3 linked regions of the Astyanax mexicanus genome follow. The protein of the gene in region 1 purifies or fractionates together with the protein of each later gene. This does not show direct contact. Links are inferred from orthologs where the notes say so. Each region holds a gene or a part of one and is shown in the gene's direction. Other genes may lie near its edges.

Region 1 (7,764 bases):
AGGATGTTCAGCGCGCTGGGCTCATCTGCCGCACCTACTGTCTGTTTCTCAGCCATCCTTCTCCCTGCTGGAGTTCAGCCTGAGGTCCTGCCTGGAGGGGTGAGACGCTGGAGAGCAGAGCGTGAAGTTCAGGGTAGACTGGAGAGAGCTGGACTCATCAGCTTCAGCACTGAGCTCTTCCTCCAGCTGGACCTTCAGTGATGGACTGAAGCTCATGAAAGGGCAGAGAGCAAAGAGTGAGAGAGAGAGAGAGAGAGAGAGAGAGAGAGGGAGAGAGAGAGGAGGTGCCACATGAATTCAGTTATATTTATCCCTCTGAAAGATGACACTTTGACATTTTAAGACGTGCATGTAGCTGCTATGATGTAAATCCCTGCCAGCCCATGCAAATAAACTGGTGCTTTCCCAAATTATATATATATATATAGCTCTGGAAAAAAAAATCATAAAAGCTCTGGAATATAATCAAGAGGAAGATGGATGATCACCACAAGCCATCAAACCACCAAACTGAACTGCTTGAATGAATTTTTGCACCAGGAGTAAAGCAGCATAAAGTTATCCAAAAGCAGTGTGTAAGACTGGTGGAGGAGAATAATATAATTGCAAGATGCATAAACAAAACTGTGTTTAAAAACCACTGAACTCTTAAAACTTTATGAATATGAACTTGTTGCTTTGTTTGCATTATTTGAGGTCTGAAAGCTCTGCATCTTTTATTTGTTATTTCAGCCCCTCAGCCAGGAGAAATGTTGGCCGTAGTTTATAAAATAAAACAACAATGTTAATTTTACTCAAACATAAACCTATAAATAGCAAAATAAGGACTCAAGGATTGCCCTGTACTATGACTATCTTTTCTGTCCCTGCTGAAGAAAAGCTTATCTCCACAGCATGATGCTGCCACCACCATGTTTCACAGTGGGGATGGTGAGCAGTGTTCGTTTTCCGCGCTTTGCATTTAGTCCAAAAAGCCTTAAACCTTTTTTTTTTGGTCTGATCTGACCACAGAACCTTCTTCCACATGTTTGCTGTGTTCGTCTACATGGCTTGTGGCTACAAACTGCAAACGGCACTTCTTACTTCGTCTTTCTTTCAACAATGTTCAACAACTCTTTCATAAAGGCCAGATTTGAGGAGTGCACAACTTATAGTTCTCCTGCAGATTCTCCTGATCTGTACATGAGCTGTGGATCTCTGCAGCTCCTCCAGAGTGACCATGGGTGTTTCGTTTAATTTTGTTCCCCCAATTTCGCAATTATGCACCACTTTCTAAAATCTCAATAAAACACATTTAAGTTTGTGGTTGAGACAAAATGTAAAAAAGTTGAAGGAGTATATAAATACTCCAGTGACTATTAGTCTACACTGTCTATACTGTCGCGCATCATTGCTATTAACAGAAATACTTTTCAGTACTACATCAATCGATCAACAGAGATAAGAGAACAGATTCTATAGTTACTATAGTCGGATTAAATCTCTTAGCAACCAGAGGAAGATGATCCTGCCTGAAGGGTTGTAACCTTGCCTGGGGCGGTGGGGACTGTCCAACCATCTAAAATTATTCTACCAGCTGCAGACTATTCTTAGTCTTAAAAAAGACCTGCATATACCCACTCTAGTTCTCTCACAGCCAATCAGCTTTACTTCATTTACATGTGAGCGATTCTTTATCCTTTATTCTTTATTTAATATCAGTACTTTATTAATACATCTTTAGATGTTGATGAAAAAACGTGACACACTGTATTTCTGACTGGACCAATCACAGCTTATATTTCTTCGCTGTCCAGTGTAAAAAACACTTATCTCAATTTTTGTCGATTTTTTGTTTACTACATAATTTGAACAGCAAAACTGTCTCTTACACTGTGCTAAAATTTCTTGATGAACGAACCAATAGAAACTCTTCTAAATGACCTGAAATAAACTCTTTTTACATTGACTTCTATTAAAAGTTAAGAAGGTTTTTTCTCTCTCCTATAAAGTTAATATTAAGAGGGAATCGGCTTCCACATGTATATTTACTAGAGCATTTTAAAAAACATATCAATTAAATATCACTGAACTCATATTGAGTTAAATACGCAATGTTAAACTCTTCTGTCTTTGTTATATTTAGATCTGTATATTTTTACACTCTGAATGCAGTAAAGCAGTATGTACTAGAACTGCCTAATTAAACTAACTATAAAATACCATTTAATACAATTGGAAAACTGCTTAATTTAGCAATTATTAAAAGCTAAGGCTAAAAGTTAGCACTCCCTAAAGACCCAACACCCACTAAAACCCACTAAACTAGCAGCACTTCCTGCTGAGAGTCATACTGTTCAGCATGAGGGGCAGTCAGTCATTGGTGGAACAGGGGAGGATTTGGGGGTGTTTTTTTTTTATTTTTTTTACCAATAATAACAATCTAACTAAATAAAACATATTCTGTTTTTCACAGTAGATGGCGCTCTTTCTTTAACCCTCATCACTCCTAGGGTGATGTGGATCAGCACAAGGCTGCGTCTGTGAGCTGATGTATCAGAACCGAGTCGCTGCCCTTTATTCCCAGCGTTAGAGCTGCTGTGATGCTACTCGGCAATGCTACAGCATCAGCAGCAGTTCAAAAAGAGGCGGAGTCTGACTTCACATGTGTCGCAGGAGGCGTGTGCTGGTCTTCTTGGGTAATTGGCCTTGTAAATTGGGAAGAAGATTAGATAAAAATTTGAAATTAGCAATAAAATACACAAAAATTCTAAAGGTCAGCTCAGGGCCCTATATAGGCAATTGATTGGTTTGCTTGCCCTGTTGATACGGGTCTGATACCAATACTCTATTATTGTTTAGAAGATAGCCATGTTCTTCTGCATGAATGCTGCACTAACTAACTAATGCAGCAGGAACATTTTCTGGGAAAAAATATGTTTTAATCCTGACCTGAACCAGTGTTTCATCAAAATTCCTCTTTTATTGACTCGACTTAATCAGCGTCCTGGAAACCACATGTCTTTTACGGCTCTGTATTAATGCAGGGTGGTTGCCTGGCTTCATAACCTGCAGTAAACGTGCAGCAGACTGATGATGAGCGTGAGTCACTGAACTCAGGTCTAAGTTGGGTCTAATGGTTCCTGAGATCTGTGGTTCTTTGTGTGCACTGTTTATTATGTAAGCAGTAGGCGGAGTCATTATCTTGAAGGGAGGCAACAATTATCTCTTGATGTGTAGCTTAAAACATGATGGCTACACTTAAAAATGATGAGTTTCTTTGATTTTACCAAATTAAAAACCTGCGGAATATAATCAAGAGGAAGATGGATGATGATCACAAACCATCAAACCACCAAACTGAACTGCTTGAATTTTTGCACCAGGAGTAAAGCAGCATAAAGTTATCCAAAAGCAGTGTGTAAGACTGGTGGAGGAGAACATGATGCCAAGATGCACGAAAAAAAAAAACTGTGATTAAAAACCAGGATTATTCCACCAAATATTGATTTCTGAACTCTTAAATCTTTATGAATATGAATTTGTTATCTATCTATCTATCTATCTATCTATCTATCTATCTATCTATCTATCTATCTATTTATCTATCTATCTATCTATCTATCTATCTATCTATCTATCTATCTATCTATCTATCTATCTATCTACACCGTCCTCGAGTGTGCTGTTCCTCCAGCGACCACTAGAGGTCACTCTCCACACTCCACTAGCACATGGCCCAGGTGTGATATGACTGATTTTAAAGGATAAACAGATCAAATATAATTCATTTTTGTTAATTTTGTGTTTTCTACACTTTACAAACAGATTATCTATTGTTTGGTATAATGTAATGGTACTCTCAGTGTATAGTATACATATTAAACAGTGTCCCAGACACTTTTTTTTTAGAATTTTAAGGTGATTTAAATAGTCTCTGGCAGAGGAATAGCCATGTTTATTCTCCATCCTTCAATACCGTTTTAAAATAGGAAAACAAAACAAAATGTTATAAAATTATTTCAAACGTATCAACAAATGTGAACAGCAGTGGTGTTCCCATGCAGGTACTAAAAAAAGATAAAAACAAATACATTTCATTTGCCCAGAACATAAAAGGAAGGTTAAAAATATCCACTGTGATTGAGTTCTTTATAAAAAGTGAAAGATTATTCTAAAGTTTTGGAGCTGTCAGTAATTACATTGCTCTATTTTCTCTTTTCCATGAGTATTTCGTCATTGTCCAATGAAAAACAAGTATCTAAAAAACAGCAACTTTAAATTTTCTAAATATTTTTTATTTTAGGTTATTTTTAAGTATTTCTACTGGTTCTTTTATCAATAAATTTTGACACAGTGTTAGAGACTATCTGTTTAAATATTGTAGTAAACTAAAAATCAACAAAAATAGAGATACTTGTTTTTCATTGGACAGTGACAGTTTGTTATTGCGCATGCGCTGTAGTAACCCGCAGATTACACCTCTGGAGCGGCACACGTCACATCTGCCCCGTACAACAGCCCTGACCAGTAGAGCAGTGCTGATCCCGCGCGCCGCCTCCAAACGCCCTGCGCGCGCCCTGCTGGAGTACCACCCCAAGCACGCGCTCAGGACACCTCCAGATAAACACGCAGTTACCTGATTAAAATGTCACCTGCCGCTGCAGGACTCCTCTACCTGGCCGTGTTAAGCCTCGCGTGCTCCGCTGCACCTGAGAGAAAAGGTGAGTTCACTTAATTACTTCATTAAATGTAGAGTTTTATTTCTCCTGAGCGCGAGAACAGCCAGCAAAAATCCACTTTTTTATGTTTTAGGCAAGCGCTGACAAGACGAGGAGCGCGCGCTCCAGCTGATGGTTATGATAATATCCTGTGCACGCGCCTGCGTACACTCTGTCCTTAAACAAAAAGGGAAAAAATGTCATTTAAAAATGGGTCTGGAAATCTGGCATCTTGGCATCATGTTCTCCTCCACCAGTCTTACACACTGCTTTTGGATAACTTTATGCTGCTTTACTCCTGGTGTAAAAATTCAAGCAGTTCAGTTTGGTGGTTTGATGGCTTGTGATCATCCATCTTCCTCTTTTTTTTAATTTGGTAAAATCAAAGAAAATCATCTACAGCTATTACAATAACTAACAGTATAATTGTCCAGGATGTGGCCATAATTTAATCCCCTGTCATTTTGATAAAAAATGTGATTAATCACAGTTAATCACACTTAAATTTCTTCCTTAAGTTTAGACAATGGGTATTTAATTGCGAGTAAAAGATTCAAATGTTAGACACATTTACTTTTGTATTATTGGTGCCAATCCCTTAAAAATGGATAAATCACAGATAAAATTGTGATTACCTTTTTTTAAAATGCTGGTACTTAACTGTATTTTTAAGAGGGGAAAAGAAATAATGTTATAAAGTGGCAGACTAGATCTTATTATTTACGGTATTATAATATCTCAGGGTAGTTTTACTGTATTATCTAAGGGAATTTTTTATGCTTTTTAAACTAGAAAGTGTAATGTTCTGAGTTACAGAGTTTAACTGTGAGAGTTGAAATGGAGAAAATAAACACTAATGTAGCTCCATATTCTACATTAAAAAAGAGAGAGAGAGAGAGAGAGAGAGAGAGAAGGAATGTGTTAAAGTTTCCAGATTACCTGTATGCGTTAACGTGTTAATGTTGACAACCATAATATACATGTATATACACACACACACACACACACCTATGGCTGTACATACTTTAAACTAAACCGGTACAGAGAGACAAGCAAACCAGAGGTAAGGGGGGGGGGGGGGGGTTGAATGGGGTAGGTGGTGCTGATGGGTGACAGATAGAAGAGATAAGACATAGCTACGCATTTCCAGCTTCATTTATTTCCAGTCATTTATACTGAAATAAGGTGTTGGCATAGATATACAGCTCTGTAAAAAATGAAGAGAGGACTTCAGTTTCTGAATCAGTTTCTCTGATTTTGCTATTTATAGGTTTATGTTTGAGTAAAATGAACATTGTTGTTTTATTCTATAAACTACAGACAACATTTGAGGTTTCAGACCTCAAATTATATAAAGAAAAAATGTAATATTTATAAAGTTTTAAGAGTTCAGAAATCAATATTTGGTGGAAAAACTCTGGTTTTTAATCACAGTTTTTTTTTCTTGGCATCATGTTCTCCTCCACCAGTCTTACACACTGCTTTTTAATAACTTTATGCTGCTTTACTCCTGGTGCAAAATTATTTTTAAAAGCAGTTCAGTTTGGTGGTTTGATGGTTTGTGATCATCCATCTTCCTCTTGATTATATTCTGGAGGTTTTTAATTTGGGAAAATCAAAGAAACTCATCATTTTTAAGAGCTCGCTTATTTTTTTTCCAGAGCTTTATGCTATATAAACATTTTTTTAATAGGAAATCCTATTTTGATTATGGAGGAATCCTGGACATTTATACTGTTAGCAATCAAGCTCAGTTCTAAAAAATACAGCTTAAACCAATTTACGCACCTCTACTTCCCAAAAATATACAAAGATAAATAAATAAATAAATAGCGATAAAAGAAAAAAGAAAGTAAGAATTAGCGGTAATATATTGCTGTTATTAAGGAATAAAGTTAAAACTAGTAAATTTTAACTAAACCAGACCCAGATTTTGGTTATGTTGGACTAAAAGTTTACTGAGATTATTTCATTATTTTTGTATGAGAAAATGACCCCAGATATCTGGATTACTGGAATATATTTAGCTGGGCCAGAATTTCACCATTATTAAGAATGAGCACCGAGACAAGTAGAGTCAAGCCCCGACTCTGACAGTCTCTTATTATTTTAGTACAAAAGCAGTTCTTTTGTTTTTTTTTTCTTGTGCAATCAATGAGGTCAGTAACGCAGAATCATCACAATCTCTTCTGCTAAATCCCTGAAACAGGTTTGAGTTTGTCTGCTGTTACTTTTCTCACTAAACCCAGAAAAGATGTTGTCGCCATTGTTCTTTATATCAATATTAAATATTAAATAGCTTATTTTAGTTGATTTACTGGGTGAAGAACATACTAGGGCTGCACAATATAATTTTGAACAATATATATCGCGATATTAAACAATGCAGGGCCCATGATGTCACAAGCCCATTAGTCTAATGGATTTGTTTAGCTACCTGAAGTTGCAGCCATTGCTCATCTATAATACAGCTTATCTACAGGGGTTATACAATGAAACTGAAACACCTGTCATCATTTTAGTGCGGGATTTTAGGTTTCATGGCTAAATTGGAGCAGCCTGGTGTTCAATCTTCATTAATTGCACGTTGCACCAGTAAGAGCAGAGTGTGAAGGTTCAGTTATCAGGGTAAGAGCACAGTTCTGCTCTAAATATTGCAATGCACACAACATTATGGGAGACATACCAGAGTTCAAAAGAGGACAAATTGTTGGTGCACGTCTTGCTGGAGCATCTGTGACCAAGACAGCAAGACTTTGTGATGCATCAAGAGCCACGGTATCCAGGGTAACGTCAGCACACCACCAAGAAGAACCAACCACATCCAACAGGATTAACTGTGGATGCTGTAAGAGGAAGCTGTCTGAAAGGGATGTTCGGGTGATAACCCGGATTGTATCCAAAAAACATAAAACTACGGCTGATCAAATCACGCAGAATTCAATGTGCACCTCAACTCTCCTGTTTCCACCAGAACTGTCCGTCACCACAATCAATTATTGTGCTCTAAAACCAGGTGTTTCAGTTTCATTGTTCAACCCGTATAGTATTTCAAGCCGATTTT
Region 2 (8,351 bases), on another chromosome or scaffold:
ACAGTCTCCATGAATACATACGATCAGTGACTGCCTATACCTGCATACATACATGATTTACTTAAAAATATGGATTTAACAGCCTATAAGGAGGCTAACAGGAGGTTAAAGGACGTTTAAGCACACAAAGAATAACATCATTAAAACAGATGTAACAACTAACGTGCAACATTTAACTAGCTGACACTTCTGTTGCATCTAGAATGCTATTCTAGTGCACACTTGCGTTCTTAAACTGCATTGATCAGCTACTGTTTACAGCAGAACACTAACAGTTTGTGGGACACTGCCCAATAAAAACTGTCTGCATGTAGTAAAAGCTCAGCTAGTGTGTTTCTTAAGTACAGGTATATTAAAGGTAGAACAGTTAAAATAAAGCTGGGTCGTGGTAAGGACCTGGGGATTTAATATGAGTCATGATGCAGAGGATACGATTAAATATCTTGATACATTGCAACTATAAGCACTACATCATATACTGATTAAAAATAAAATATTAGGAAAACTGTCTAATGTGAGTAACAACAGGTAACTTTTTATACAATTAGAACAAAGGGACCTGAAGGCAGAATACAACACTATTGTTGTATTGGTGTTATCGAGTGGGAGGGGATTAAAAACACCAATCTTAACACCTAAACTTTTAAACATACATCTGATAAACATACTGTGTTTTGGGAACTGATATAGTACTTAAAAACATTGCATTGTGACACTTCTAGGCCTGTCACTATAATAATTACATTAACAACGTATACAATCAATGGAGATTTCAACAAAAATATTTGATGTAAAACACGTGTATGTTTGTTCACATATATAACAGTGAACAACATTTTAGTTTTGTCATGCAGTGACAAATGCTTCAATAACTCATACACACAGTGTGGACTTCAGTAGGTAAGGAAAAAATATAGCTGCATTTCCCATACTTGTTTCCCCAAACTAGAACACTATGTTTGGTGTAGGACTATGCTTAAAGCAAAGCACGTAGATTATTAATTTAACTAGTTAGTTAACTATTTAGCTAACTATAACGTTTCCCCATTTTAAAATGTCTCGCTGAAGAGTACAAAGACGTTACAAAAATGCTGCGCTAGTTCACTCTTGTTTAGTTAGGTTAGCTACCTAGGTTACCTAACCTAAAACACGTTGGCTCGTGTGTATTACTGTACTGTATGACTTTACTAGCTTGCGTTTAAGTAAGTGCTCAAGTGCACACTCGATAGCGGACCCCGGTGGGCGGGCAGCAGGGTGCTCGGCGTCTGAATGCTGCAGGGTGAGCGGGAATATTGGAACGCTGCCACTCTATCGCTACAGTTTCGGTTCATAAACCGCCTTGCCGCGGGTCAGCACCCGAACCTACCGACCAACCTGCCTGTTTACGCGCTCGGCTGGCCGGTCCGCGCCCCCCCCTCGGCCGCTCAGCGCTCTCCTCCCCAAAACCGCGGAGCTTATTTTCACGGCAATCCGCCGAGTCGCACCGCATTTTCCGTCTGCGTTCAAACTCGAGCGCGCTGCCCGCGGCCTGGTTAACACCACAGGCCTCAGAACGCATGGTCTCTGCGGGGCTGTACACAGATTTGAACCCACCTGCACTAAAACTCGGGTCTAAACTGTGTTGGAAGGTTCGGGAGAGTGTTCAGAACCGCTTACCGACTGCCCCGCAGCTTCAGCTGAGTCTCAAAGCGAGCTGTTGAGGGTTTATCCGCAGCGGAGAAATCCAGCCTCGCCGAACGCAGCGCAGAAAACCAGCAAGAACACCTGACCACACCCACCTCACACATAAACCCCGCCCGCAGGCTGCCCATTCGCGGCGTGTCTCGTCACTCAAACGAAAAGCGCGCATAAGTCCCACCCATGCACAGACACTGACCAATCCTAGCCTGGCAACTGTTGCTAGCTTCCATACTAAAAGTAGCTACCCGCGCTAGTTAGAGCTAGCGTTAGCAACGCAAGTACTGTGAATTGGGCAGCTACACCTTCTGCGGTTCTCACAAACACAATTAAATTATACACAACACAGTGTAACTCCAAGTCAACCACACTTTTGTAAAATCAATATGTCCAGTTAGAAAGCAACAATGATTGTGAATCAATTTCACTTGTTATTGTGGAAATGTAACAGACAAAAGGTAGAAATAAGAGACAATTATCAAGACAACCTTTATAAAGGAGTGGTGACCACAGACCTTTTTCTCTGTTCTCATCCTTTCTGGCTGATGGTTTGGTCACTTTTGCATTTTGTCAGTTCTCTCACCATAGAGGTAGCATAGGCGGAGTCTACAAGTGGCTCAGGTAGTGCAGCTCATCCAGGATGGCACATCAATACAAGTTGTGGCAACAAGGTTTGCTGTGCCTGTCAGCACAGTGTTCAGAGCATGAAGCAGATACCAGGAGACAGGCCAGTACACCAGTAGACATGGAGGGGGCTGTAGGAGGGCAACACCCCAGCAGCAGGACCGCTACAGGAGGAGCGGTGCAAGAGCCCTGCAAAATGACCTCCAGCAGGCCGCTAATATCCATGTTTCTGCTTAAACTGTCAAAAATGAGGGTGGTATGAGAGCCCAATGTCCACAAGTGGGGCTTGTGTTTACAGCCCAACATTGTGCAGGGCGATTCGCATTTGCCAGAGAACACAAAGATTCGCCATTGGCGCCCTGTGCTCTTCACACAGGTTCACACTGAGTACGTGTGACAGACGTGACTGTCTGAGTCTGGAGACGCTGTGGAGAACGTTTTGCTGCTGCAACATCCTCCAGCATGACTGGTTTGGCAGTGGGTCAGTAATGGTGTGGAGAGGCATTTCTTTGGAAACATTAGATGCTTTTCCACCGGCATGGTGCCAGTGCTGGTGCCAGGTTCCCGAAACGGTTCTTTGCGTTTCCACTGCAAAAACAAATTCTTGGCCAGAAAAGCCGGTTCCGTTCTGGCCCCACAATCTTGCTGGTCTGGAACCATCGAACCTGTGACGCGAGCAGCCAAAGGGCGGGGCTCTGAAGCATCTCCAGGACAAAGTTGTTTACAAACCTCACCTCAATTCACAGCTAAGAGCAGTAGAAGCAGCTAAATGAATCTAAAGTGAGGACAGCAGCACAAGTTTTAAAAGGAGCTCGGGTTCTGCTGTGTTGTTTTCAAAAAGCCCCCAACTTCTGTTTACGCCCACATTCACATAAGTAGTAAGTGACCCCTTAGAGCAGAGGAAACACGGGCCGGTCCTTAAAAGGTTAGCAGGAACCGGCTCCGGCACCAGCACTTTGTAGGTGGAAAAGAAGTAATTGATGCTACGGACTGGCCTGCCCGTTCCCAGACCTGAATCTAATTCAGCACAACTGGAACATCACGTCTTATTCCATCCACCAACGCCACAGTCCACCACAGACTGTCCAGGAGTTGACTGATGCTTTAATCCAGGTCTGAGAGGAGATTCCTCAGGAGAACATCCACCGCCTCATCAGGAGAATGTCCAGGAGTTGTGGGAGGTCATACAGGCACATGGAGCCACACACACTACTGATCCTCATTTTAACTTATCTTGAGGAATTTCCACTGAAGCTGGATCAGCCTGTCATTTGATTCTCCACTTTGATTTTGAGTATGATTCTAAATTCAGACATCCATGGGATAATAATTCTGATTTACATTGATACTTTTTGTGTTATTTTGTTCTCAACGCATCACACTATAATAAATACAGATTTTCAACTGGAATATTTTATCTAGGATGTGTTATTTTAGTTTTCCCTTTATTTTTTTGAGCAGTGTATATAATATCCTCTCATATAAATAATACACAGTATTCAGGGCTAATAGTTTAGAATTTCTCCTGAAAGTAAATTAGCTGTTATCCATGGCTGTTATTCTAAGTCAAATCTGTGCAGTTTAATGCTATAATGTCAGAGGAAGATCTACTTTTTAATTTTTTTGTAAGAGCCACACAAGATCTGGTGTGGTTCTGCTGCAAGTGAAGACTGTCAGCAAGACCAGGCTCAGCTGTATCTCCAACATGCCTAATAACACATTTGTAATAAAAAAAAACTTGAGGGTTTTTTAGGGTCTTTTGGGTGTATGTTTTCACTTATGGAATTTTATTCATTTATGCCAGTCTGCTTTACCTTTGTATGTTGTCAGAAACCATTTTATTTGACTGGATAAAAAAAACAAGATGAGAATAGTATAATTTATACATTTTGATATATTCAGTTTTATAAGGGATAAAAATAATAAAATGTGGTATGTGATTTTTACATAAAGTTTCACATATGCATATACAGTGGTGTCAGAAAGTATTTGCCCCCTACAGATTTCTTGTGTTTTTGCCTTTTTTTTTTGGCGTACTTACAGCTGAGCTCAATTTTACTAGCCACAACCAGGCCTGATTACTGCCATACCTGTAAAATCAAGAAATCACCTAAATAGAACCTGCCTGACAATATGAATCAGCTAAAAGATCTCAAAAAGTGTGTTTGGGCTCTGCAGCAGGACAATGATCCAAAGCACACTGACAAATCCACCTCTGAATAGCTTAAAAAAACTAAATGAAGGTTTTGGAGTGGCCAAGTTAAAGTCTGATTAAGATGCTGTAGAATGATCCGTTTTTTGCTTGAAACCCCCGCAATGTGGCTGCATTAAACAATTCTGTAAAGAAAAGTGGAACACAATTCTTCCACAGAGAACTCCCGGACCTGTTTTTTATATTCACTCAGGTTATCTTTGTCTTATAGTAAAGTGTGTTTAATACTTGGAAAAATTATTACAAAAAAAAAGCAAAAACAAAAGAAAGCTGGAGGGGGGCAAATGCTTTTTCATGCCACTGTGTGTGTATTTTAATAATACATTAATAATATAATAATAGAAAATATTTTTTTAAATTTACTTTTTATTGCAATTTAATAAAAAAAAGTATTAAAAGATCTTAGAAGAATAGCCACTTATAATAAACATATTCTAAACGTGTTTTTAAATGTAATGGGTTGTTTATATTTAATGGCATAAATAAAATCTTAGTAATATAACACATTTTTAAAACAAAAGAAAGCCTGTTTTTATTATTAAAACCTGCTGTTGAATATTGATTATTGGTCGTGTTTTGTGTTTTTTTAGGGGACTTTTACTGTGGCGGAGACGCCGCTGCTGCGTCACTTCGTCCCCGGGCTCAGTGCGGAGTGAAGATGGCAGAGCAGCAGGCCGCGGACTCGGAGCTGGACGAGTTACTGGACAGTAAGGACTGGGTTTACTGGGCAGCCCGGTAGGGTTTCTGTTTAGTGAGGGTTCAGAATAACACAGAGGAGTAAGACAGTGCGCGGCACTGAAATATCTGGTGTTGTTTTACCACTAAACTGGAGTTTATTTAAATAACTCGGTCCACCTTAAATAGTACAGCAGTTACTATACTAGTTTGAGGAATTAGAATAAAACTGCTTTATCATTTAAGGTGGACCGGACAGATTCAAGAACAAAGTGGAATTTCTCTTCTTTATCATGCAGTCAGTGTAAAAAATGGTCGCATACACGTTTAATTAGGTTTATATTGTTTATGAATCACTTTTATATCTACTGTAACTCAGGTTTACATGGATATTTAATTATAAATAGTATAAATGGTAAATGGTAATGTAAATGTTTACAAATCGTATTATTATTAATATTATTAATTTTTTAATTAGTATTATTATGGGCAACAGCAGTGACAGAGTGGTTCTAACATCTAACAGTAATAACTGTATGCTAGATAGACTACCAATAAATACATTACACAACAGTTTAACTATTTGTCCAGAACTATTCAGGCATCTAATGAATAATTTCATATATCCCAAGTAATATATAATAGTTGTCTGGATATATAGTAAACATAAGGCAGAATGTAATTGCTGTGTAATCTAAAGTATAACATTCATACCAAGTCATTTTTATTGTTGTTTTTTATTTTATTTTATTGTTTTATTATTAACTTGATTACTCCGTTCTTAGGTGCTCTCGATGACTTTGACAAGAACAGCGCGCCCCGTGCGGCTCCTGAAGCCGCTGCAGCTCCCAGTGAAGAAGCTAAAAGTGCAGGGCCAAATGTAAGGATCAGTTGTGTCATAATTTAACCTTTTGCTCTTTTTAAATATTAATGCCTTTAAATCTTCTGAATGTTAAAATTCTTATAATTTCATTTATACGTGATATTTATGTTATTGGGTCTTTCTTTTTTTTTAATTGACATTATTAGAACTCATGATTTTTTTTTTGTTATGTTATTCAGTGTGTATAAAACACTGACAGTTTGTGCTTGTGTGTGTCTGCAGCCCCCTCTGCTGGAAGACAGTCAGTTCTTTGAGTCTCTGTTTGAGGGGGAGATGGCCAATCAGGCAAAGGAGGAGTGGGAGAGGGCAATGGCTGAGCTGGCGCAGGAAGAGCCAGAGCTGCTGCAGCATTTCCATAAACTGTCAGAGGCTGCTGGGAAAGTCGGTACGTCTGCATGCATGCTGGATACCTGGAACTTTTTTGTTACCTTTGTTAACACACAAGTAGAATTGCTTCAGTACAACTGATTGCACAAACCCCACATCATTTAGTGCTCAAGTAGTACTGAACAGTGTTTATGAACCAGTCTGGTCACTGATTTAAAAACCTGAACTTCTGATTGTCTGTGTTACATTGGGTGTTCATCAGAATCTGTTGTGTAGTTCTTAAAGGGATAGTTCGGTATTTTTGACATGAGTCTGTATGGCATCATCATAACCAGTGTCGTGCATCCACACTGACTTACCCCCCACAGCGTCCTGTGAGCCGAGTTCTTGTCCAGTTTAGGTCAAAGCGAAAGTAGTCCGGCATGTTTGCTGGGGTCAGGAAAATAACTCCTTTTTCTTCCCAAAGCAGTACGTGTTCAAAAGAGTGATTTATTTACATCACAAAAAACTAACCCTGCAAAAGTCACGCCTCGTAAATCACTTGGGTCCTACTTTCTCTCGTTCCATATCAATGCGCGCAGCGCTGCAACCTGACAGCTAGCCTACGTGTTTGGGTCGCTTTGTTTACTTCTCGCCTCGAGAACATGTCTGACTACGAGAGTGACGAGGAAAACATTGATCACCGCTCAGAGCCACGGGGATATCTTTATGAACCCGAGTATACAGATGTTGAACTTCGCCAAATGGAATTAGATCGGGCAGAAAGAGAGAGGGTGGACAGAGAAGTGGTGGAAGATGAAACTGGAGCCACTGCTGGAGCTGCGATACCCAGGGTGGCCGACAAATCCTGGTGCACTTGTTTCAAGTGCGAAATAATGCAGACCGAGGTGGAATGCTACTGTTGCCACGAGTTAGTTATGCCCGAGATGCAAGACCTATCCATTGATGAGGATGTCAGCGGGGCAGCTGCTTGCATCACAAACAACAGTGACTTCCCTGCACTCCTGAATGCTGGTGTGTTGAGAACTTTTTTACGCTATGAGCGAATGCTGTAGAGAACATTGGTAGGCTACAGTTTTATTTACCTGGGGTGCAGGGACAGCAGATTTCTTCAGAATCCGTTTCTTCATCTGTCGTTGTCCAGGACATGTGGATAAAAAGTCATCATCGCTGAAGTGCGCACTGCAAACACGAAGCTTTTTTATTTTTTCCACTTTTGTGTCCACATGGATGCCCAGCGCTAGTACCCAAAGTTTCCTCAGAGCAACATCAGTCACAGGAAAACGATGAAAACTCTGCGGAGAATCAGCCACATCTTTGTTGCTACAGCCTGGATAGTCACAAGTCCGCACCATTTTAACACACACACACACACACCTAGCTATATATATATATATGTGTTTACAAAGCTTATAAAAGCCAATAGACTTCTCCCTAAAGTTAGCTCGTTTGCGTTGCTAGTCTGAACACAGCTGCTAAGCACTGCCAAAACACAGAACAAGTTGACGCGTGCGCAGCTCGCTGTCAGAATGACGCGCACTAGGGGTGGGCGATATGGCCCTAAAATAATATCACGATATTTCAGGGAAATATCGCGATAACGATATTTTTGACGATATAACAAAGATATTTTATTAATTTCAAGAAAACAGTATTGCAGAAAAAAAAATTATGTCTAAGCTTTATTTAGTATAAATGCATTTCACACTTAAATATTACATTTTTTTGCCTTTTCAAGACTCTAATGTAACAAATATCACAAACTCCTTAAAAAAAATTTGCATGATTTAAAATTTTACCTGCAACAAATTATACTAAAATATTCTAAAGCTTCAAAGTCAACAGAAGAACAAATATAAACTAAACATACAGATGACAAATATATATATATATATATATATATATATATATATATATATATATATATATATATATATATATATATGCAAGAAA
Region 3 (8,218 bases), on another chromosome or scaffold:
CCATTGGGTTGCTGATCAGTACAGGTGTCTGTTAGCTGATGTATCAGAGCAGAGATCTTGCATTGACAGCAGCTAAGGCAGAGTCTACACACACGTCATTTTGTTACACTGTGTACCTGTACCCAGACGTAATGCCAATAAAAGCCTCTAGGCTTGACTTGACTATGTAAAATAAAAATCAGGACAGAACCGTCACTCTCAACCTTCGACCCAAATGTTCTGAACAGCCTGAGTCAGATGTCAGCGGTAGTGATGAGCACACAGGGTGGATCTTTCTAAATAACTTGAGTAATCATGGAATTTACAACTAACTTCCCCATCCAGTCTGAACTTTCAGCTGATTTAACCCCGGCCTGACTGATCTGAATTATTCTACACTATAACTCATCCTGCAGAGTGACATGTGACTCAGACATGTGACTCTGCAACAGACGTTTCCTCTGAAGTGAGACAATCACATCATGCAATTTTGTCCTTTATAGACGGGAAAACTGTGTTAATCATGATTTCAGCAACAAGTCCTGCAGATTTACAGGACACAAATCCTCTCTTGCACAACATAACACTCTGATCTAAATCAGGTAACAGTGATGTAATTCATGTAACACTCTGGCACAAATCATGCAATCAAACAGAATAAACTCGGTCACCTGAACTTTTCTCCTCAGCAGGAGCCTCTTTTGAAGAATATGGTCCAGCTCCACATTTCCTAAAACAAACAGAAAGAACAAATCAATCAATGAATCAGTATTTATTCAGCAGGATGAACAGTGTTCCTGATTTCTGCTCTTATGTAACCACAAACACATGCTGTGTTGTTGCTAGGTTACCACACGATTAATATATGGCCAATATATGAGTCAACAAGTCAGTACAATACCAGTCAAATATTTGCACTGGTTACAGTAGCAGCACTGGCAGATGGTTGGTGGACGACACCTACAGCACAGGGCACTCTGACCTGCCCAGATACATTTCCCACACAGGTCACAACATTTCTAACAGAGGTCCAGACTGCGTTCCTCAACAATACACACTGTTTAAAACTGTGCTGCTGTTGTTCTGCAGTAAGTGACTTAAACTGGAATTCATCCAAAACACAGAGAACTGCAGAAAACAGATATATTCATACTCTGCTAGTACTCCACTGCTGTGTGCTGATTCAGAACAACACAACATCTGCAGAACATCTAGAAAATCGGATAAAAGTCTGATATAGTAGGGTGTAGTGTAGTGTATAGTATAGTGTAGTGTATTGTATGGTGGTGTGTAGTTTGGTGTAGTTTACCTTTACCGTTGGTGTTGTGCAGGTCCCTCTGGTTCACTGTGCTGTCCGATTCTTTTGATCTTGTTAATTTGTGGAAGCCTCTTTTTGTCGCTCGACCTTCGATCTCATCTTCATCTTCCATCTTCCTGCTGCTGGAAGACAGGAAGGATTTTGTGTCTTTCAACCTGATCTACTGCCTTGTGGTTCAATTATTATTGCACTTACAGTTGGCTAGGGCAGCTTTAGCTGGGCAAATATTTCACAGAATTCTTTTTTCTGTTACAATGCTACATTTAGTCAATTTAGTCAATGTAGTCAATGTATGTATATATAAAAAAAAAGGTATCTTTGTCTTTCTATTTGAGCATTTATATTATATTTTACCTCTATTTATTGAAGACAACTTAATTATTTCTATATACTTTTGTGAAAAAGTTTCAGTCATCATTAGGGCTGCAACTAACAATTATTTTGGTACTTGACTAATCTGACAATTATTTTACCGATTAGTTGATTAGTCACCAATTTCTCCTGCCATGTTCTCCGTCGCTAAAAACAATAGAAACAGCTAAGCATAAGATTTAAAAGCCATTTAAATGTCCAGATGTTGTTTAAACATGAAATTTTAAATATTAGTCGACAATGAAATTTGTAGCTTACAAATTTTAAATAATCGATACTGCCGATTATATCGACTAACCGTTGCAGCCCCAGTCATCATGACACATTATATGGAAAATTATGGACATTAGAATAAATATAAAAGTAGTGAAATTTGCTGTTGAAAAATACACTTAATTATTTATTTATTTTTACATTGTCAGATAAAAAAAAAATATAATCTATAAATGCAAATCGTTTTTATTAAAAAAGAAATGCTAGCTAAAGCCAGAGGTGAATTTAGACATTTAGTAGATAGATTTAAATATATATAAATATGAATATGTATATCTTAAGTTATTTTGAAATGTATTTTTTTCTACAGCAAACAAGTTACAAGTTCAAAACAAATTGTAAATAAATTCCAGTTTATAAATTATACAAAATAATAATAATGACAAAATAAACTAAATTGTATATATTTTTTCAAATTTAAAATCTGATCCATACATTTTAAAACTTAAAAAAAATGAAATACAAATTCTGGCCAGGAGTCAAACATCAGTTCGTGAAATAATTTTTTTTAAATCTGAAAATCAGTCATTATTTCAAAGTGTATATGTTTTCAATAGCAAACTTACTTTACAAGGTTAAACATTTTAAACACACAAAAAAAAAGCATTGTTAAAATTTGAATGTGTGCATTATGCCATTACATATTTCAAGTTTATCCAGAATCGGGTTTATTTAATTCAAATATACAGAATGCTTTTTTAAATACTTTTAATAGCTTTTAAGGTCTGCTTTATACTTTGTTGCCACCTTGGGGGATCTATACTTTTAATGTTATGGATGATTCTTTTAATGTTATGGATGATTCTTTTAATGTTATGTGCGTCTCTAATATAAAATACTGAAACACTGAAACTTCATTGTGATTCTATTCATTCTGTTCTGTCTCGAGCCACACTCTTTAACATCAATAAAAACATCAAAGCATGATCTCACACACCTGTCTGTGGAGGATCAAAGTGGTATAAAAATGTCGTCACAAATTAGGTCCTAGATCTACTTAATTTCACTGAGGATTAGTAAAAAAAAATCTGAGCAGGTTCTGCAGACAGAAGCGCAGTCTGGAGATGTTGTGGGTTCTGAGCGGGCTCTGGAACCCTGATCTGAAGCTGCACGAAGTGCTCGCGCTGGGTCTTCTCCCGGCCTTTGATCTTATAAACAAAAAGAACATGATGTAACTCACCTGTCAGATCGTCCCACACCTACTCAAGGTTCTGGATCTCTCTGAGAATCTGTTTAGGCTGGAGAACCGAGCAGATCAGCTGCTGAACCTCCTCATGATAAGGAAGACGTTCTGCACAGTGGGCGGGGCTACAGCTGAGTGACGCTCCCACTGTCCGCTCCGATTGGCTACGATAAGGTTGTATGACAGGATTTGTGCCAATCACTGGAATTGTTTTGAACAGAGACTCTAGATTTGACATATGGACGTCATGAAACATACACTATATTCCATATGTCCAAATGTATTTGGGACACCTGACCATTTATTTATTCATTATTTCTTCTCAAGTCAAAAAAAAGAAAAATACAATTCTGTTTTTGTTGGAGTAACTGCCTCCACTGTCCAAAGTGAGAAGATGTTTACAAACTTTTGGAGAAGAGCATTGCTGTGAGGATTAAACTGCATTCAACCACAGGAACTGAGAGATAGTGATGACAGTAAAGATATTTTTAATGATCACCACCCCCAAATCATTCCCAACTCTTCAACTTAACCCCACCTCATCCCCAACTTCCCATCTCATCCCCAATTCCTCCAACTCTTCCCCATCTCATCTCCAACTCATTGCCAAATCTCCAACTCATCCCCAATTCTCCAACTCATCGCCAAATCTCGAATTCTTCCCCAACTCTCCAACTCATCGCCAAATCTCCAACTCTTCCCCAACTATCCAATTTATCCACAACTCCACCCCAACTTCCCATCTCATCTGCAATTCCCCAACTCATCCCCAACTCTCCAACTCATCGCCAAATCTCCAACTCATCCCCAACTCCACCCCAACTTCCCATCTCATCTGCAATTCCCCAACTTATCTCCAACTCATCTCCATATCTCCACCTCATCCCCAACTACCCATCTTATCTCCAACTCATCCTCACCTTCCCATCTCATCCCCAACTCCCCATCTCATCTTCATCTCCCCACAGCTCACCCTAACTCTCAACCCCAACTATCCAACTCATTCCCAACTCTCCAACTCATACCTAGCTCCCCAACTCATCCCCAACCCCCTAATGTGAGACTTCCCACTTGAGAATCTCTTCCAGGTTTGTTTGACCATTAGAGGGTGCACTAGAGTGAGTCCGAAATAAACGGTTTATATGGAGAAATTGAGTTTATAAATATTCATTTCATTTTCATACTGAACAAGTTCTTATTTTCTCAACACAGACCAATGTCACATGTTTCAGTACCAAAATACATAATTTTCTGAAGAAAAACATATAAAATATATAGGTAAGTTTTCTTTCTTTTATTTATTTTAGCAAAAATACATTATACTTTCTAAAATTTAAGGAATATCCTGGCCAAGTCGATAGTACTGAAGTAATATTATACTTCAGTAACTATTATATAGTTTCACATTTTATATAGATAATATCATTTAGATATATTACACACAGAGCAATATATTCAGGATGATTTTAATGATTTTATTAATGCAATGTTTTTCTCGAAAATCTTACAGCACTTCATGCTTTCCTCTGCTAACAACTTTTGTGGAGAAGCGGCTTTCATTTTTTTCAGCAGGATTTGGAACACTGCCCACACTGACAAAAAGTACCAATTTGTATTATATTATATTCTAATTTTCTGAGACACTGATTTTTTGGGTTTTCTTTGGCTGTAAGCCATAATCATCAACAATAAAATAAATAAATGCTTAAAAGATTAGCCTACTCTGTGTGTAATACATCTATATAATATATGCGATTAACTGAAATAAAGTAACTTTTCAATTACATTCATTTTTTTAAGAATAAAGCTGAGAAAGAAATAATAAAGGAATAAAACTCTGAATTAAAGCATTAGCTTTAGCATTAGCGCTGTTAACCACAGTAACTGCATCACTTCCGCCTGGAAGCGGAAGAGCGTTTGTTTATGTACTGCAGCAGCTGCAGGAGTTCAGAGCGTGAGTTTAATCACAGTTGAGAGAATGTTCAGATAATTACAGAGAGAAATACATTTATTACCTTCAACTGCAGAACCGCGGCCTGTAGAACTCTAACCCGAACCGAACCGCGGGCTGTAGAACTGTAGCTGTGTGAGTGAGTGTTGTTTACGGGTTTAGTATAGTCAGTGTTGAGGATCGGTGGTAATATTAATGTGAATAATAGAGACTCTGTGGGTGAGAGGAGACTCTACAGGGTTTATTTGTGGAAATTCAGAGTCTGTGAAGGTCTGCGTTTGTAGAATAGGAGATTTGGATTAATTTTTCGGACAGAGATTAATAACAGTCCTGAACTATTTATTAATTTCAGTAGAGAGTCTCCACCCAGAACAGAGTGAAACCAACCTTTAGTCTAAAGTGAACTGAAAGTGAATTTAAGCACAGTGAGGAAGAGGAACTGCTCATACAGCTGCTTTCATTTCTATTATCTCTTTTTATATAAAAGTTTTGTTTATTACTGTCACTGACTAAACCAATAACTGATTAAACCAATCCCTGATTAAATATCTTATCAATAACAGAGTGATGGCGATGCTGAGCAGTAAAAGTGATCAGGAGATCGGCTGGATGTTGGACGATTACGGGATAAAACATGGTCCTGTAGTCGGTAAGCTTTTATTATTAATAATATTTATTTATTTGTTATTATTAATGAATAAAACATTATTATAGTGATCTAGTTTAGTATCCCTCTCACACCATTGTGTATAAATTAACGAAAAGTGTACAGAGTATATTATTATGTGATTGCAAACAGTATGAATTTTGTGGTTGTGTGGTGTGTATTATGGAAAAAAAATACAGTGTGAATTTAGGGGTGGTGTGTGGTGTGTTATGGGGTAGCAAACAGTATGAGTTAAGGGGTAGCATACAGTATAAATTTAGGGGTAGTGTGCAGTATGTTTTATAAGGTAGCATACAGTATGAATTTAGGGGCAGTGTGCAGTATATATTAAGGGGTAGCATACAGTATGAATTTGGGGTAGCGTGCAGTAGTATGTATTAAGGGGTAGCATACCGTATGAATTTAGTGGTGGTGTGCAGTATGTATTAGGGGGTAGCATACAGTATGAATTTAGGGGTAGTGTGCAGTATATATTAAGGGGTAGCATACAGTATGAATTTGGGGTAGCGTGCAGTAGTATGTATTAAGGGGTAGCATACCGTATGAATTTAGTGGTGGTGTGCAGTATGTATTAGGGGGTAGCATACAGTATGAATTTAGGGGTAGTGTGCAGTATATATTAAGGGGTAGCATACAGTATGAATTTGGGGTAGCGTGCAGTAGTATGTATTAAGGGGTAGCATACCGTATGAATTTAGTGGTGGTGTGCAGTATGTATTAGGGGGTAGCATACAGTATGAATTTAGGGGTAGTGTTCAGTATGTTTTAAGGGGAAGCATACAGTATGAATTTAGGGGTAGTGTTCAGTATGTTTTAACGGGAAGCATACAGTATGAATTTAGGAGTAGTGTTCAGTATGTTTTAACGGGAAGCATACAGTATGAATTTAGGGGTAGTGTTCAGTATGTTTTAACGGGAAGCATACAGTATGAATTTAGGAGTAGTGTTCAGTATGTTTTAAGGGGAAGCATACAGAATGAATTTAGGAGTAGTGTGCAGTATGTATTAAGAGGTAGCATACAATATGAATTCAGTGGTAGTGTGCAGTATGTTTTAAGGGGTAGCATACAATATAAATTTAGGGGTAGTGTGCAGTATGTTTTATAAGGTAGCATACAGTATGAATTTAGGGGTAGTGTGCAGTATATATTAAGGGGTAGCATACAGTATGAATTTAGGGTAGTGTGCAGTATGTTTTAAGGGGTAGCATACAGTATGAATTTAGGAGTAGTGTGCAGTATGTATTAAGAGGTAGCATACAATATGAATTCAGTGGTAGTGTGCAGTATATATTAAGGGGTAGCATACAGTATGAAATTAGGGGTAGTGTGCAGTATGTTTTAAGGGATAGCATACAGTATGAATTTAGGGGTAGTGTGCAGTATGTTTTATAAGGTAGCATACAGTATGAATTTAGGGGTAGTGTTCAGTATGTTTTAAGAGGAAGCATACAGTATTAATTTAGGAGTAGCGTGCAGTATGTATTATAGCATACAATATGAATTTAGTGGTAGTGTGCAGTATGTTTTAAGGGGTAGCATACAGTATGAATTTAGGGGTAGTGTGCAGTATGTTTTAAGGGGTAGCATACAATATGAATTTAGTGGTAGTGTGCAGTATGTATTAAGGGGTAGCATACAGTATACATTTAGTGGTAGTATGCAGTATGTTTTAAGGGGTAGCATACAGTATAAATTTGGGGGTAGTGTTCAGTATGTATTAAGAGGCAGCATACAGTATGAATTTAAAGGTAGTGTGCGATGTGTTATTGTGTAGTGTACAGTATGAATTAAAGGGTAAATTGTAGGGTGTACAATGGAGTAGCCTGCTGGGTGTATTAATGGCGTAACGTACAGTATGAATCAGTGCTGGATAAAAGGAAAAGATTATAACAGTTTTTAATGTGACGGTCTGTCAGAAACGACCAGGACTCTGTATGAGAAGAAGCTGAGAGAAGCCATGGCTAAAGAGAGAAAAGTCAAACGTCCATCAGAACGAACCTTTTACAGAGAAGGTAAAAAATATAATTTTATAAAATTACAGTTGTATAGTGTGTTTAATATCTTTTAATCCAGGCTTACCATTTAGCGCCAAGTTCTTTTAAAGCACCACAGACAACTGACTTTCTGTGTGTATGTGTGTGTTGTACACACTCTGGACTGATCAGATGGATCTTTAAGTGTTTATTGATCTACAGATGTATAATGACTGGTTTATAGAGGGTGAATTTGCTGTGATTTGTGTGTTTTAAATCCTGATCCACTGGATCAGATCAGGAGAACCCTAGTAAAAATGCTCTGAATCAGTTTTACACCTTTAATAACTGTCTGTCTCTCTTTCAGAGGAGAAAGACCCCTACGTTCATTATCGCCGACCGGTAAGTCAAACCTCTCACCTTTAATTCTACCAGTTCTCTTTTATCTAAGAGGTGATGAGGATGATCTCACTGTTTTCTGTGTTGGTACAGTTGAGGCA

Evidence for each region.
Region 2: the proteins of epidermal growth factor receptor (region 1) and pex19 purify together in Homo sapiens (co-immunoprecipitation; 3 studies listed by BioGRID and IntAct, with this or other methods). This does not show direct contact. The link is inferred for Astyanax mexicanus from reciprocal best matches to the Homo sapiens genes EGFR and PEX19.
Region 3: the proteins of epidermal growth factor receptor (region 1) and uncharacterized protein LOC103043983 purify together in Homo sapiens (affinity purification with mass spectrometry; 4 studies listed by BioGRID and IntAct, with this or other methods). This does not show direct contact. The link is inferred for Astyanax mexicanus from reciprocal best matches to the Homo sapiens genes EGFR and EMD.

The regions. Positions count from the first base shown.
Region 1 is NC_064413.1:1,351,325-1,359,088, forward strand, and holds the start of epidermal growth factor receptor, read left to right. Parts: upstream 1-4,467; 5' UTR 4,468-4,627; coding exon 4,628-4,703; intron 4,704-7,764. Other genes in the region: cavin4b (caveolae-associated protein 4b), read right to left, coding at 1-56. UniProt on the Homo sapiens protein: Receptor tyrosine kinase binding ligands of the EGF family and activating several signaling cascades to convert extracellular cues into appropriate cellular responses.
Region 2 is NC_064415.1:44,424,083-44,432,433, forward strand, and holds the start of pex19 (peroxisomal biogenesis factor 19), read left to right. Parts: upstream 1-5,117; 5' UTR 5,118-5,171; coding exon 5,172-5,220; intron 5,221-5,973; coding exon 5,974-6,068; intron 6,069-6,293; coding exon 6,294-6,456; intron 6,457-8,351. UniProt on the Homo sapiens protein: Necessary for early peroxisomal biogenesis. Acts both as a cytosolic chaperone and as an import receptor for peroxisomal membrane proteins (PMPs).
Region 3 is NC_064419.1:7,954,495-7,962,712, forward strand, and holds the start of uncharacterized protein LOC103043983, read left to right. Parts: upstream 1-4,984; 5' UTR 4,985-5,079; exon of another isoform or gene 5,080-5,215; intron 5,216-5,639; 5' UTR 5,640-5,643; coding exon 5,644-5,725; intron 5,726-7,661; coding exon 7,662-7,757; intron 7,758-8,085; coding exon 8,086-8,120; intron 8,121-8,210; coding exon 8,211-8,218. Other genes in the region: soat1 (sterol O-acyltransferase 1), read right to left, coding at 651-709, 1,289-1,409. UniProt on the Homo sapiens protein: Stabilizes and promotes the formation of a nuclear actin cortical network. Stimulates actin polymerization in vitro by binding and stabilizing the pointed end of growing filaments. Inhibits beta-catenin activity by preventing its accumulation in the nucleus.